4 linked regions of the Saccharomyces cerevisiae S288C genome follow. The gene in region 1 interacts genetically with each later gene. Each region holds a gene or a part of one and is shown on either strand. Other genes may lie near its edges.

Evidence for each region.
Region 2: mutations in MIG2 (region 1) and UPS1 together harm fitness more than expected from each alone (negative genetic interaction), as found in Saccharomyces cerevisiae (2 studies listed by BioGRID).
Region 3: of MIG2 (region 1) and MIG1, changing one enhances a phenotype caused by changing the other (phenotypic enhancement), as found in Saccharomyces cerevisiae (10 studies listed by BioGRID, with this or other methods).
Region 4: mutations in MIG2 (region 1) and FAR3 together harm fitness more than expected from each alone (negative genetic interaction), as found in Saccharomyces cerevisiae (2 studies listed by BioGRID).

What each region holds. Positions count from the first base shown.
Region 1 is NC_001139.9:94,093-97,506, reverse strand, and holds MIG2 (Mig2p), read right to left. Parts: upstream 1,650-3,414; coding exon 501-1,649; downstream 1-500. Other genes in the region: SIP2 (Sip2p), read right to left, coding at 1-169; Rab family GTPase YPT32, read right to left, coding at 3,047-3,414. UniProt on the Saccharomyces cerevisiae protein: Involved in glucose repression of the SUC2 gene.
Region 2 is NC_001144.5:539,509-542,239, forward strand, and holds UPS1 (Ups1p), read right to left. Parts: upstream 1,029-2,731; coding exon 501-1,028; downstream 1-500. Other genes in the region: HCR1 (translation initiation factor eIF3 core subunit j), read right to left, coding at 1-81; NCW2 (Ncw2p), read right to left, coding at 1,301-2,065; glycylpeptide N-tetradecanoyltransferase NMT1, read right to left, coding at 2,429-2,731. UniProt on the Saccharomyces cerevisiae protein: Required for maintenance of normal mitochondrial morphology. Required for PCP1-dependent processing of MGM1.
Region 3 is NC_001139.9:431,048-434,618, forward strand, and holds MIG1 (transcription factor MIG1), read right to left. Parts: upstream 2,016-3,571; coding exon 501-2,015; downstream 1-500. Other genes in the region: VIR1 (Vir1p), read left to right, coding at 1-283; YGL034C (uncharacterized protein), read right to left, coding at 2,167-2,532. UniProt on the Saccharomyces cerevisiae protein: Involved in glucose repression of the SUC, GAL and MAL genes as well as of the CAT8 gene. Binds to two sites in the upstream region of SUC2.
Region 4 is NC_001145.3:377,941-380,700, reverse strand, and holds FAR3 (Far3p), read right to left. Parts: upstream 1,116-2,760; coding exon 501-1,115; downstream 1-500. Other genes in the region: STB2 (Stb2p), read left to right, coding at 1-355; YMR051C (gag protein), read left to right, coding at 2,376-2,760. UniProt on the Saccharomyces cerevisiae protein: Participates in the control of the reentry into the cell cycle following pheromone treatment.

The sequences.
Region 1 (3,414 bases):
AACATTTATTTAAGCTCAGTTCAGTAACTTTCTTGCTCACAGCATCCATTTCTTGCGGTTCGCAGCCTTGAGCATTGCTGGGTTTTTCTCTAACGTCACTCATGATAGGTGCACGACACTTTTTTGTTGTTTGCTTTTTTTGGGCTGGATGACTTGTCGTAGTACCCATAGAAACTTCACTGCTCTCAGTACCCTTCCAAAAGCACAATTATTTCAGATACTTTTCATTTCCCAGGAATCTTGTGGTGTATTTATCCTTTCCCTAAAAGATTTTGACGATCCGAAAACGCAAGGTAAATCTTTACTCGGTCCAAGGGAGCAATATAAAAGACCATGCCGGCCGCAATTCGTATAGGTAAACGTGCTATTCATGACGATGCTAGTTAGTGATATGCATGGTTATCTATTTAATCTATCTATGTAAGTACGCGTTATATGCTAAGTTGTTTCATGACAGTTCGTTAGAGGAAAAATGGTGAGATAAAAAGGGGCCGTAAAGGTTAAACTCTTTTGGGACCGTTGAAAACATCAATTTGTTTCAGTAGGTTACGTACAGGCGGCAATTTTACGCCTGACAATTTCTTTCGGCTTTTGCTAGATTCATGATCTAGCGACTCGTGCTCCTCCTCATTACTACCACTGCTGCTGTTATTGGTATCTTCTTCTTGTTCTTCAGGAATTTCGAATTTTGCTCTTTCCCTCCTAGTCTTGGTGGTGTATCTATTGGAATCTAAATAGACGGACTCAAGTTCTTTGGCCACGGCGAGCTGAGAAGGAGCATTGCTGAAAGGCAAAGAGATAGCGCTGCTGGATGCAGAGGTATGACTGGAATCACTTGGTGAGGATGGTGATTCTATAGTGGTGGAAGGGGCACTTACAGGCGTTCTTTTTTGTAAGGTAGATAATGCAGATGCAAGAGAATGTGCAAAAGTTTTCTGCTGCTTGGCAACAGAAGGGCTGGCAGTTTGATGCTGATACTGCTGTGGGATATGTTGCTGGTGTAAATATCCATCATTCGGAGAGTTTGGCACAGAGCGTGGAGTGTTTACGCGAACATTCATGTTCGAGAAGATAGATGAAACATCACTATTTGACTGTATGGAGCCAATAGAGCTCTGGAAAGAGGTGAATGATTGCGATGGAACTGGAGTGTATGTAGAAATTGGCATAGGAGAAGTTGCAGGCTGGAAAGATGCAGCGGAGGCATGAATGGGGGCTGGTTGGGCCATGATTGGTATCACCATTGGGTGCACCGCATTGGGAGCGTGTATAATGTTACCTCCATTTACTGCCTGAACATTTATGGCCATATTTGCTGGTAGGACTTGCGGTATTGGTTGGTGTATCATCACGCCCGATGCAATGGTAGGAATTCCGCTTACTGTCAAAAACTCCTGTTTCTGTACGCTAGCTTTCTTCAATCTCCTTTGAGATTGCCCTGTATGCGTTCTCATGTGCCTTTTCAGTTCATCGCTTCTACTGAAACTTTTCCCACAACCAGGAAATGCGCAATGATGAGGTTTTTCCCCAGTGTGTGTTCTCAAGTGTCTCTTTTTATGTTCTAACCGATGGAAACCACGGTGACAGGTATCACATCTAAAAGGTCTGTTTTCGTTATCTACTGGGAAATTCGTTTGCTTTTTAGGCATTCTCTTTTTTTATTTTTATTTTGTTTGTTCTCGAGGTCAATAGTCTTAGCGTGAGTTAAAACTTAATTGAGAGTTAAGATAAGCTACACAATGGTAATAGTACAAGGACAAGCACACAATTTGACAGGCAGATCGTAAGTTACTACGTATTATAGACGGGTTTCCCAATCGCTTATATACCAGAAACGCTTTTGACCGGGAATGATTTTCGGAAAAACTTTCTCGCACGGATTATTTACCGTATCCTCGTACGAGATTTTTCTCAGCGGCATATAATTTAGAGTTATTACTTCAGTTTTGCGGGTGCTCCGTGGATGTCTCCGCGGATAAATTTTCGGATGAGCCAAAAAAGTGGAGGCGGGGTTTCTTATCCCGGCTTTTTTTCTTCTTCGTATGAGCCTATCAATCATTAACTGATGGTAATACGCTAACTTCAATGGGGAAAGGGGAGAGCTAGTTGACGCAAGCTCCGCAGGGGCGATAGGGCAACTACAGCACATCGCCACAGCTTATTAATTCGCACCGTGGAGATGATGGTCGCTCGTAAATCAGCTCAGTGAAGATTATCGTTTGCCATCGTGCTTCTCATATTACATATTCAAACAAACTACCACAGAACTATCATTGGGGTAGGTATAGCTCAAATTCAACAAGGCCTGCCTTAAGGGCCATAAACTATTTTATACTTTCTTTGTTTTTACAAGTGGGGGAAAGAAAGAGCGACAACCGATTTTTCTAACCTTCTTGGAACCGAGAACGGTAATTTCCGTAAATAAAACGCAATTACTGTATCGAGCGAGTTTGTTTTCCGAAACACGCTCTAATGTAGATTCGAAAAAATAATGATATCAAAGATGAGTAGGCCAATATGAAAAAATAACAAAAAACTTAGCAACAGAAATTGAATCATTGTCGTACCCCATCCTTGCGTACGTAAACAGCCTTCCTTCTCCTGCCTACCCCTCACGTCGTCTCGGATAAACCTTCAAAACCCGCAATTTCGGAAAAACTTCCAATATAAACCATGACGAAATTTGTATCCGGGAAGGTACGTGAAATACACAGAGCGAACGTTTATAAAACCGTCTAATTCTGCTCATGCGTGCGGAAAAAAACATACACGTGTGTTTTTAGACTGCACAACAACAGAATATTTAAATCGTAAAAAAAAAATCATATTCTTATCTTCGGCTATTGCAAAATGCAGGCGTCAGGAAAGGTCTATTTAGAAAATGTATGTACGTTAATACATTTTTTCTTGCGTGCAACGAAGGTTAGTAATAAATAACTTGGGAAGGTATATGTAATTGATTATATTTATAAAAGCATTATTAACGGGGGTTATATGTAGACAGAATATGCATGAAACCATGCGACCTTAGTAGGGCACAAAATTTTTAACAACAGTTGCTGGATTTTTTCTTCTTGTCTTCCTTTGGTGCCGGTGTTAAGCTGATGGTAGGACCCTTTGGAGCGCCATTAGAGCCCATGTTGTTGGTACCCGACCCGCTTAAGTCTACTTGATGTTTGCTTACCATTTGGAAGATGGCTACGATCAGTTCTCTAAATGCTTTATCTACATTATCACTATTTAAAGCACTTGTCTCAGTAAATAACATTTGGTTTTCCATTGCGAAATTTTTCGCTTCATCGGTTGGTACTGCTCTTAAATGAGCCAGATCTGATTTGTTCCCTATCAACCCAACAGCCACGTTGTCATCTGCGTTCTCTCTCAGTTCGGTAAGCCAGTGGTTGCAATTTTCGT
Region 2 (2,731 bases), on another chromosome or scaffold:
AATTTCAGCATCCCATGAGTCCATCAAAACGGCGTCATCATTACCCATAGAACCATTGATAGCTTCGTCGTCCCAAGACATTTTTATTACTTTTTTTTTTTTGAGGTGGTGGTTAGGATAGAATAGTTACAAGGAACTCAAAAGATAGTAAGATAATTTAAAGCGAGAGTTCAAGAATGGTGGGAGCAGTCAGTTCTCAATTCTTTAATGTAGTACTTCTGACTTAGCTAGCATGAAAAAAAAATTCGGAAAATGCCCAAAAACAGGTGTGTTCGTCTAATATGATACAGGGACGACCATAATATCAAGATTAGTGACATTTGATGTATAGTTTAGCAGAATGACTGTTATAAATAAATAATTATATATGTGTGTATATTAAATTTTGTTGAACCAGCGCTTATTTACAATTTTTAGGACGTGACCAAATGCGAGCTGCACTAGTTTTCTCAATTTCGCTCGCCCATGGTGATATCTTTAAAGATCTTTAAATGGGAACATCAAAACTGAGGATTTCTCGCCTCTTCGAGTTTTTGGATAACAAATGCCATGCCCATTCTGCTTTTCTTAACGTTTTCGTCAAATTTAGTGCGCGACCAATCCTCTACCTTAGATTTGATACCCATATTGAAGCCACTTGAAAACTTCACCCGGCTGTCTGCTATCGTACTACTTGTAGCACTGTCAAATTGATAGGTAGTATATTCTTCAACCTTCATGATTCCAGTGTGATCCAGATTCCTAGTGTAAGTTTTCATTGTGGAGTTAGCGGGGTTCACTACGGAAACTTCGATTATCCATGTTTCTGTTATACCTCTTAAAAAGGGTTTGACCCATGTGGGCAGCTTTCCGGACTTTTTCAACAGCCTCGTTGTGCGCAAATTTCCTTCTTGATCAACGTTCCTTGATATTGTGTCTATGGATAGTACATGGGGGGAGTATGGATTGGGGTATCTATTAAAAAAGGCGCGTGAAACAGAGGCAAAATCGGTAGGAAATATATGTGTGCTTTTGTGTAAAAGGACCATTGCAACTCTTAAGGATATCTTACCGCCGTCTCAGAAGCCAGACAATACTTATTGAATATGATTACTCATCCATCTGTCATATATATTTTTTTTTTCTAGCTTATTATCCAGGGAGAGCGAGAAATACTGCGGAGTTTTTCACCCGAAAGAAAAAAAATACGCAAGCACGATGATAACAATAGTTATATTATTGGTTACCTACAGTGTATAAAAAGAAAGAGTTTTATTAAAATGCAGAACTATGTGGTGGTATACAGAACTGATTATACATTCTATAACAAAAGGGCACCAACGGCGAATGCACCCGCACCATAAGCTATGTGAGTGCCGGCAAAGGCGCCATTGGTAGAATTGGACATTACGGACGCTACCTTACCGTTGACTGTAGACTTGTATGTAGTGGTCAGTGTCTCTACTGTAGAACCTGACGTAGTGGTATAAGTTGATTTGATAGTGCTTACTACCTTGGTGCTTGATTCCGGTTTTGATGAGGATCCCGAAGATGATTTACTTGATGAAGCCGTGTTGTCAGTTGTGGCTGAGGACGGTAGCCACCAAACAGTAGATGTGTAAGTCTCACCTAACGAATTCGTGGTAGTTACTATAGTAACTGGCCCGTCCGTTGATGTTGATGTCGTTGAGGAGGATGCGGAGTTGGTGATTCCGCTTGACGTCTCTCCGGTGGGCTGCACAGAGGCAGTTGAAGTTGTGCTTACGGCAGAGTTGCTTTCGGCCACCCACCATAGGTACTGTGTCGTGGTTTTGCCTTGTGCATCCGTCGTCACTACGGTGGTACTTGGAGCCACAGCATAGGTGTTGCTGACGACGTTGCTAGTTTGTACTAAGCTTTTTCCGGTAGAAACTACAGTTGATGCGCTTTCTTGGGCTTCCTTTGTCGTGGTAGGTGTGATCTCTTGAGAGTTTGAGCTTTCCTTTTGTGAGCTATCTTCAGAGTTCTGGCCATCTAAGGAACCAGAGTCTTTTTGAGCAGCGGCTAGAGTAATTAAGGTGGTAAATAATATGGAACAGGCCTTCATTTTATATATATGTTGGGTTTGTTTATATTTTCACTAGATCGGTGAGTATCTAGTCCAGAAGAGTTGATCTTTCTTACATACTTATATATGCTCACTACCGCCTTCTGAGAAAGTAGGCGTTTTTCAGCTACCTCAGTCGCTAAAAATAAATGCGAGTTCTCAAGCCAACTTGGACTCCAAGGCGGTAATTATAGTGATTCTCTTTGTCTATTTTTGGATTTATTTTGGAGGCTGACACTCTAAAGCCAGCCATTGGATTAATTATTTTTTCACTTCGTCAATTGACTATGCGGAAAAACTAAATGTGGTCAAATTCTGTCGGCTATGTACACGAAAACTATATACGCCTCGTCCTTTCAGCCACTACAACATAACAACACCGACATTGCTACGCCTTTTAATGTCGTTACTATTGTCGGGATTCAAGCCACCGGTAATCGGCTTTGCTCTATAATTAAATAAATAGAAGTTCAAGAACCCGTCACCGGGCCCGAACTTCAAATCATCCAAGAACAATGTATTATCTTGCGAAGTCAACGCGTTAAAAACATCCATATTAGCGTTTTTGGCCAAAATACAAGCGTCATAAATCAATTCACACAATCTTGTTTTCAAAGCCTTAGTAGCTTTTGGATCAAACCTGTCTTTGAATTGGAAATCTGCATC
Region 3 (3,571 bases), 340 kb from region 1:
TATGACGAGACAACCAACCACCTTAACTAGAGCAACCGATGCTATGACTACGGCACCTACGACACCAATTCCATACAAGAACACTAGTGGAAGCAGCAATAACAATCTATGGATTGAATCGCCCATGACAAATTTCAAGGGTTCCACCATCAGTAAAAGTACTAATAAGAGCAAAATGGTTAATACTGGTAAAAATTATATTTTAGGGGGCCACAATAAAGTTAAAAACAACAGTAGAGCTCAATCAATACATATAGATGACTTTGAAAATGAGAACAATTAATTATCTCTGCGGAAGACTAAGACAATCAAAATATGTATTCTTACTATCATAATTAAATATTTTTATCGTTATTAATTATTATTATTATTACTATTATTATTATTATTATTATTATTATTATTATTATTTATTATTTATTAATTATTAATTGTTAATATTATTAATTCTTGTCTATTGTCTTTTGATTTATCTGCACCGCCAAAAACTTGTCAGCGTATCAGTCCATGTGTGGGAAGGGCAACGGTAAACTTCTTATGGGTGGTAATGTTTCCAGTTCTTGAACTTGTGAATCCGACTGAGAAATGGGGGTTTGTTGGGTGGATATAGCAGTATTAATCATATTCACCCTTGGTGACAATAATAACGGGGTTGTACTTAACGAACTACTGGAAGCCATCATTTGATTTTGATTTTGATTTTGACTTTGGTTTGACGTATTTTGTGATTGCAGTAGGGTATGTTGCTCTTGCTGCTGTTGTTGAACGTTCAGTAATCTGTTGTTCAACTCCTTTTGGAAATCAGGAGATGATGAGGAGAAATGCAAGTGATTTTGGTTCATTACATACCCCAAAGTGTGCAAATTCGTACCACTAGTGGATCTACTTAGCATTGTCGTGGGCGTGGAAGTCTTAGATTTCTTTCTTGATTGCTCTTGCAAATAGTCTTGCTCAAGGTTATCGATACTAGAGTTAGACGGGTCCTTTAGTCCGTCTTCTTCATCCTCACCACCAGTAGTAAAATCAGAGTCAGATTCGTTGGTATTTCTTTGGCCAACCAACAAGTCGTTCAAACTTAAAACTGAACTTGGTCTCTTCAACTGTACGGAACTCTGAGTTTGTGCTCTGAGACTTCCATTGTTGTTTGGATTTGCATTGTTCAATCCTTGAAAATCCGTTAAAGATCGCGGCCTTGGTAATATAACAGTGTTGGAATAACGTGGTGAAAGAGAATTTTGTTGTTGTTGTAGTTGTTTCTGTTCAGGACCGTCTATGAAAACAGTCCTTGGCGCACTGCTAGCAATGGGCGTCATCATTTGTAGGGACGATAACGCGTTCAGTTTCAGTCTACTGCCACTATGGCTATTGCTCAACGAAGACAAAGCAGTGGAAGCGGATGAAGTTTGGTAGTTCATATTATTCAGTGCTAAAGAAGGTGGAGGCTTCACCGAGACGGGAATCTTAGCCATCGTTTTGGGAGAAGAAACCATATATGGGTCATTCCCACCACTTTCGCCGATTTCGAATTTGGTTTTTCTACCTTTTCTTGTAGAAGATCGACTTGAATTTTCTTTCGGAGCAATAGCAATAGGAATTAAAGGCGATAGGTGTTGCTGTGGTAATGGCGGTGAAAAATTTGCCGTATTTAAATCTGGTATACTGGTAGCACTAGAACTAGCACTATTTATTGGAGAGCCCACAACCTTCTTCTTTCTGCCTCTTTTACCTCGAGGGTGGGAGTTTGTATGAATTCTTCTGTGTCTCGTCAGTTCATCGCTTCTACTGAACCTTTTCACACATCCGGGGAAGTCACACGCGTGAGGCTTCTCACCTGTATGAATTCTCATGTGTCTCGTCTGATGTTCCAGTCTGTGAAAAGCTCTATGACAGATAGGACAAGCATGTGGTCTTGGCGCCTCTGACTTCGCAGCTACTTTGGACTTGCTTTTACTCTCCTTCAATAGTGACCCATCATCAACGTTAGACACTTGTGTCATTGGATATGGGCTTTGCATGGCTATGGTAGTATGTCGTCTCCACTATACTCAACTCTCGTGTAGTTACAAGCGAGCTAGAATAAATGGCTCTCTTATCTTCGAAATGCTTTACCGGGCTTTCTTACTCTCCTTTGTCTTCGTTAATGAGTACTGGGGTGAAAAAAAAGGGTTATAATAAATAAATTATCCAAGAACGACTATTCTCTTTTCTTTTTTCTGCTTGCTCTTCCCCACTTTTCTCGTCCAGCCTGTTGTAAAAATTTGTTGTTGCTTCTTTCGTATTAGTTTTTCCGAAAGAAAGCGCCGCAGGGCCTTTACCATCACTCCAGGTTTTCCCGGAGTGGGGTGGCAGTCCGCAGTCTCTCGCGAAATCAAAGGCAACAAGCAGACACGTGGAGAAAAGCCAGGAGAACTCAAGAGCTCGAACAAGTATGCTAGCAACTAAACAAGCCGGCCTACGCCACTCTGGAGTTTCTCGCGGGGCCCGGCCGCTACAGGTTTCCTGAGAAGCCATTATAATGGCAACTACATTCATCAACACTCCATAAAATCCTATCGAGTTACACTGCTAGTGTCGCAATTGCGCTTTTCTGCTGCTTAATTGTGGGCCCCAAGCTCTTATCACTTGCTACCATCCTATAAACTGTATGGAATGCCATCACAACTTTCGGAAAAATAAAGCGCTTTTTTACGCTATCAGTGGAGATATTACGAATTAGGCACAGGGAAGAAATAGATAAAAAATTCATGGGGCCAACCCCAGACGTCAATCTTCTACACGTCAAGTTTTGAAAAAAATTAAATAAAAAATAAAAAAAAAAACCGGCGCGAAGGAAACGTGCTGGCTCGCTAACTTCTAGTCTTACTGTACTGACTACCTTCCAGTCCTACTGGTTATACTGCATTGTACGGCAACTTACACACCCCACGCACTTACTTTCCTCCACAATGCCATCTAGAAAAATCGATTACCCGCTAATTTTCCGGGAAAAAGTCGATTAATGTAGGTTAGTGGCAGCTATGCTAAGCAATGATAAAGGAACCATACACGATATTTCTACAGAAGGCTATTAAATAGGGTGAAATAGGATGAAGCAACAATCAAAAATTATGAAAGCATCCGTTTTCTCGCTATTCTAATAATGGGACAGAACTGCCAATTCTTGATCTGGTGATCCATACGATTAAAATAGGGGTTCATCGCATGGAAAGTCTGTAAATCACACTTGCCTACCATAAGGAAGTCATCAATTCCCGAATTTTAAACGGGTTTCTATGAGTATTTGGAGGATGTTCATTCTTGGTAACATTACTGATGACATTCAGTGATACACTGCCTTCAAGGAAACACACGCGATAGAGGCAAAACAATGTTGCAACGGCAATTAATTTCTGTCATTGTAATGAATTTCTGCTCGTTGCTTCTAACCATATCTTGTGTAACGCTTGCGTTGATATGCAAAAATAACGAGATGGAATTTGCTGCCCTCTTTCAGCCATATGATGGCGGCAAAAACTTTGAAATTTGTGCACAGGATATAATAAGCTACTTCTTGACTCTAACGCCGTACTAC
Region 4 (2,760 bases), on another chromosome or scaffold:
ATCTAGGTTGAAATATGATATGAGGATATTGGAAGTTCGTGTACGAGATATTGAAAGTAGTGTTGCTCAGTTTGATTCCAAATTAATTGGGTTGAAAAGCTCTCTTCAGGGACAGGGTAAAACTGGAATATGCTCTGCAATAGATCCCAAGAGTGATAAAGACGAATATGATAGATGCGTAAATGATTTGATGACCACTAACAACCCCACCTATGAAGCTCTTTGTTTAAAGATGCTGAGCCGCCGTTATTTTAAAGATTTAAAGAATGATACTGTGGGGTGGTTCAGGTGGTTATTTGGTAATAATTCTTTACACAATAATGCCAGTGAAGACGATAGAGGAATACGAGTATGATTTTTTTCGGTTCATCCTAATTTTTTTTTTTTTTCAAAAGGGATCTAAACATTTATCCGTTGTTATAAGTATATTAAAATATATAAATGCATTCAAAGGTTTGCTATTTCACGTCTGCTTACACTTTTGTTCGATCCATCGTAGGCTATTTCAGTACCTGGTACGTGTCTTGCAGGTATTCCAACTGTTTTTTAAAGCGGCTGTAATCTCTGGAATCTTTAGATATACGATCCCAATCCACTTCCTTCAAAAGTTTTTCAAACTGTTTGATAATTGAATGCAATTTTTTTTTTGTTTCTTCATTTTCTGTCTTCAATGACTCGTAATTTTGTTGAAGACTTTTGTTCCTTTCATCAAGCTTCTCTGATGAAAATGTGGCAATATTTCGTTCTCTTATTGCATTCTGTTCGTCGATAAAATTTTTAATATATGAGAAATGCTCATTTATGTTGTTAATTAGCGCAACAGCCTTTGTATTGAAGTACTCTTGTTTTTCAATCTCGTATATGAGTTTAAAATTTTCGCTGATAAGCTTCTGTGCCTCAGTGGGGGGAGATGCTTTTTGAGATGCATTATCTTTCCATGAATCTGGAATTATGTTTTTGCTCAAATTATCATAAGATATTCCTGACTGTTTGGCAAGGCGCTTTAACAATAGTTCTATTCGATCGGTCTCTTGTCTGTTAGCCCGACACTCTGCACTTAAAGCTTTTGTTAATTGAAGAAGATAATCGAAACTATCACTACCACCGCTATTCATATTTGCAAATCACTATATATACTGCTCTGTGCGAACTTATGATGGAAAAAACGAGCAAGAAGTAATAAATCACGGTTTAACTTTCTTCATTAATCGCCGAATGCTAGCCGGAGCTTTGAATGAACCTTTTATTGTGGTTATATTGTTATACAGGTGTCAATATAAACAATAAAAGTTGAAGCGGTGGCTCAATGGTAGAGCTTTCGACTCCAATTAAATCTTGGAAATTCCACGGAATAAGATTGCAATCGAAGGGTTGCAGGTTCAATTCCTGTCCGTTTCAATTTATTTTTTAGCCCTGTGCTTGAGATTATCGTCGACAATGACCAGCTATAAGCTGGCAAGATTGATGCTCTAAAACGCGGGGAATAAAATAATCAAGATGATTAATTGTTGGGATTCCATTGTTGTTAGAGCCTACAATATTAGGTACACAGAATATACTAGAACTTCTTCTCGAGGATGTAGGAATCGTCAAAAGGGAATCGATAGTTTTACGTAACGATATTACTTTATGTTCTTTCTGTTGGAATGAAGCTATAAAATATCATCTGTTCAGTAGTATTCATGCCACTCGTACATTATCATATACAGTGTAAGAAGATGATCTAAACATTGAGAAACAGTCGTAAAATTTAATGGAAGCAGAAATATAAGGATTGATAATGTACTAGGATAATGAAACATACGAAAGGGAGGGAGAAATAATTGTAATTGTATTATATAGGAGTATCGATTCCAATTTGAGGATTGGTATATCTCTCAGGGGAAATTTTATTATATTCTGTACACATAATAAAATAAAGCCCTTGCGAACAATAGAATCCCAACGGTTATCAAATTATTCACAAATTGATCACTTCCTTTTTATACTTTCCCTCTCGCTTCTTATTACATTATCAATCATTGCATTTCAGCTTCCCCTAAATCTGGTGACTGTTTCTCAATCTTTAGATCACCTTCTGTTGGAATAAAAATCCACTATCGTCTATCAACTAATAGTTATATTATCAATATATTATCATATACGGTGTTAAGATGATGACATAAGTTATGAGAAGCTGTCATCGATGTTAGAGGAAGCTGAAACGCAAGGATTGATAATGTAATAGGATCAATGAATATAAACATATAAAACGGAATGAGGAATAATCGTAATATTAGTATGTAGAAATATAGATTCCATTTTGAGGATTCCTATATCCTCGAGGAGAACTTCTAGTATATTCTGTATACCTAATATTATAGCCTTTATCAACAATGGAATCCCAACAATTATCTAATTACCCACATATATCTCATGGTAGCGCCTGTGCTTCGGTTACTTCTAAGGAAGTCCACACAAATCAAGATCCGTTAGACGTTTCAGCTTCCAAAATTCAAGAATATGATAAGGCTTCCACTAAGGCTAACTCTCAACAGACAACAACACCTGCTTCATCAGCTGTTCCAGAGAACCCCCATCATGCCTCTCCTCAACCTGCTTCAGTACCACCTCCACAGAATGGGCCGTACCCACAGCAGTGCATGATGACCCAAAACCAAGCCAATCCATCTGGTTGGTCATTTTACGGACACCCATCTATGATTCCGTATACACCTTATCAAATGTCGCCTATGTACTTTCCACCTGGGCCACAATCAC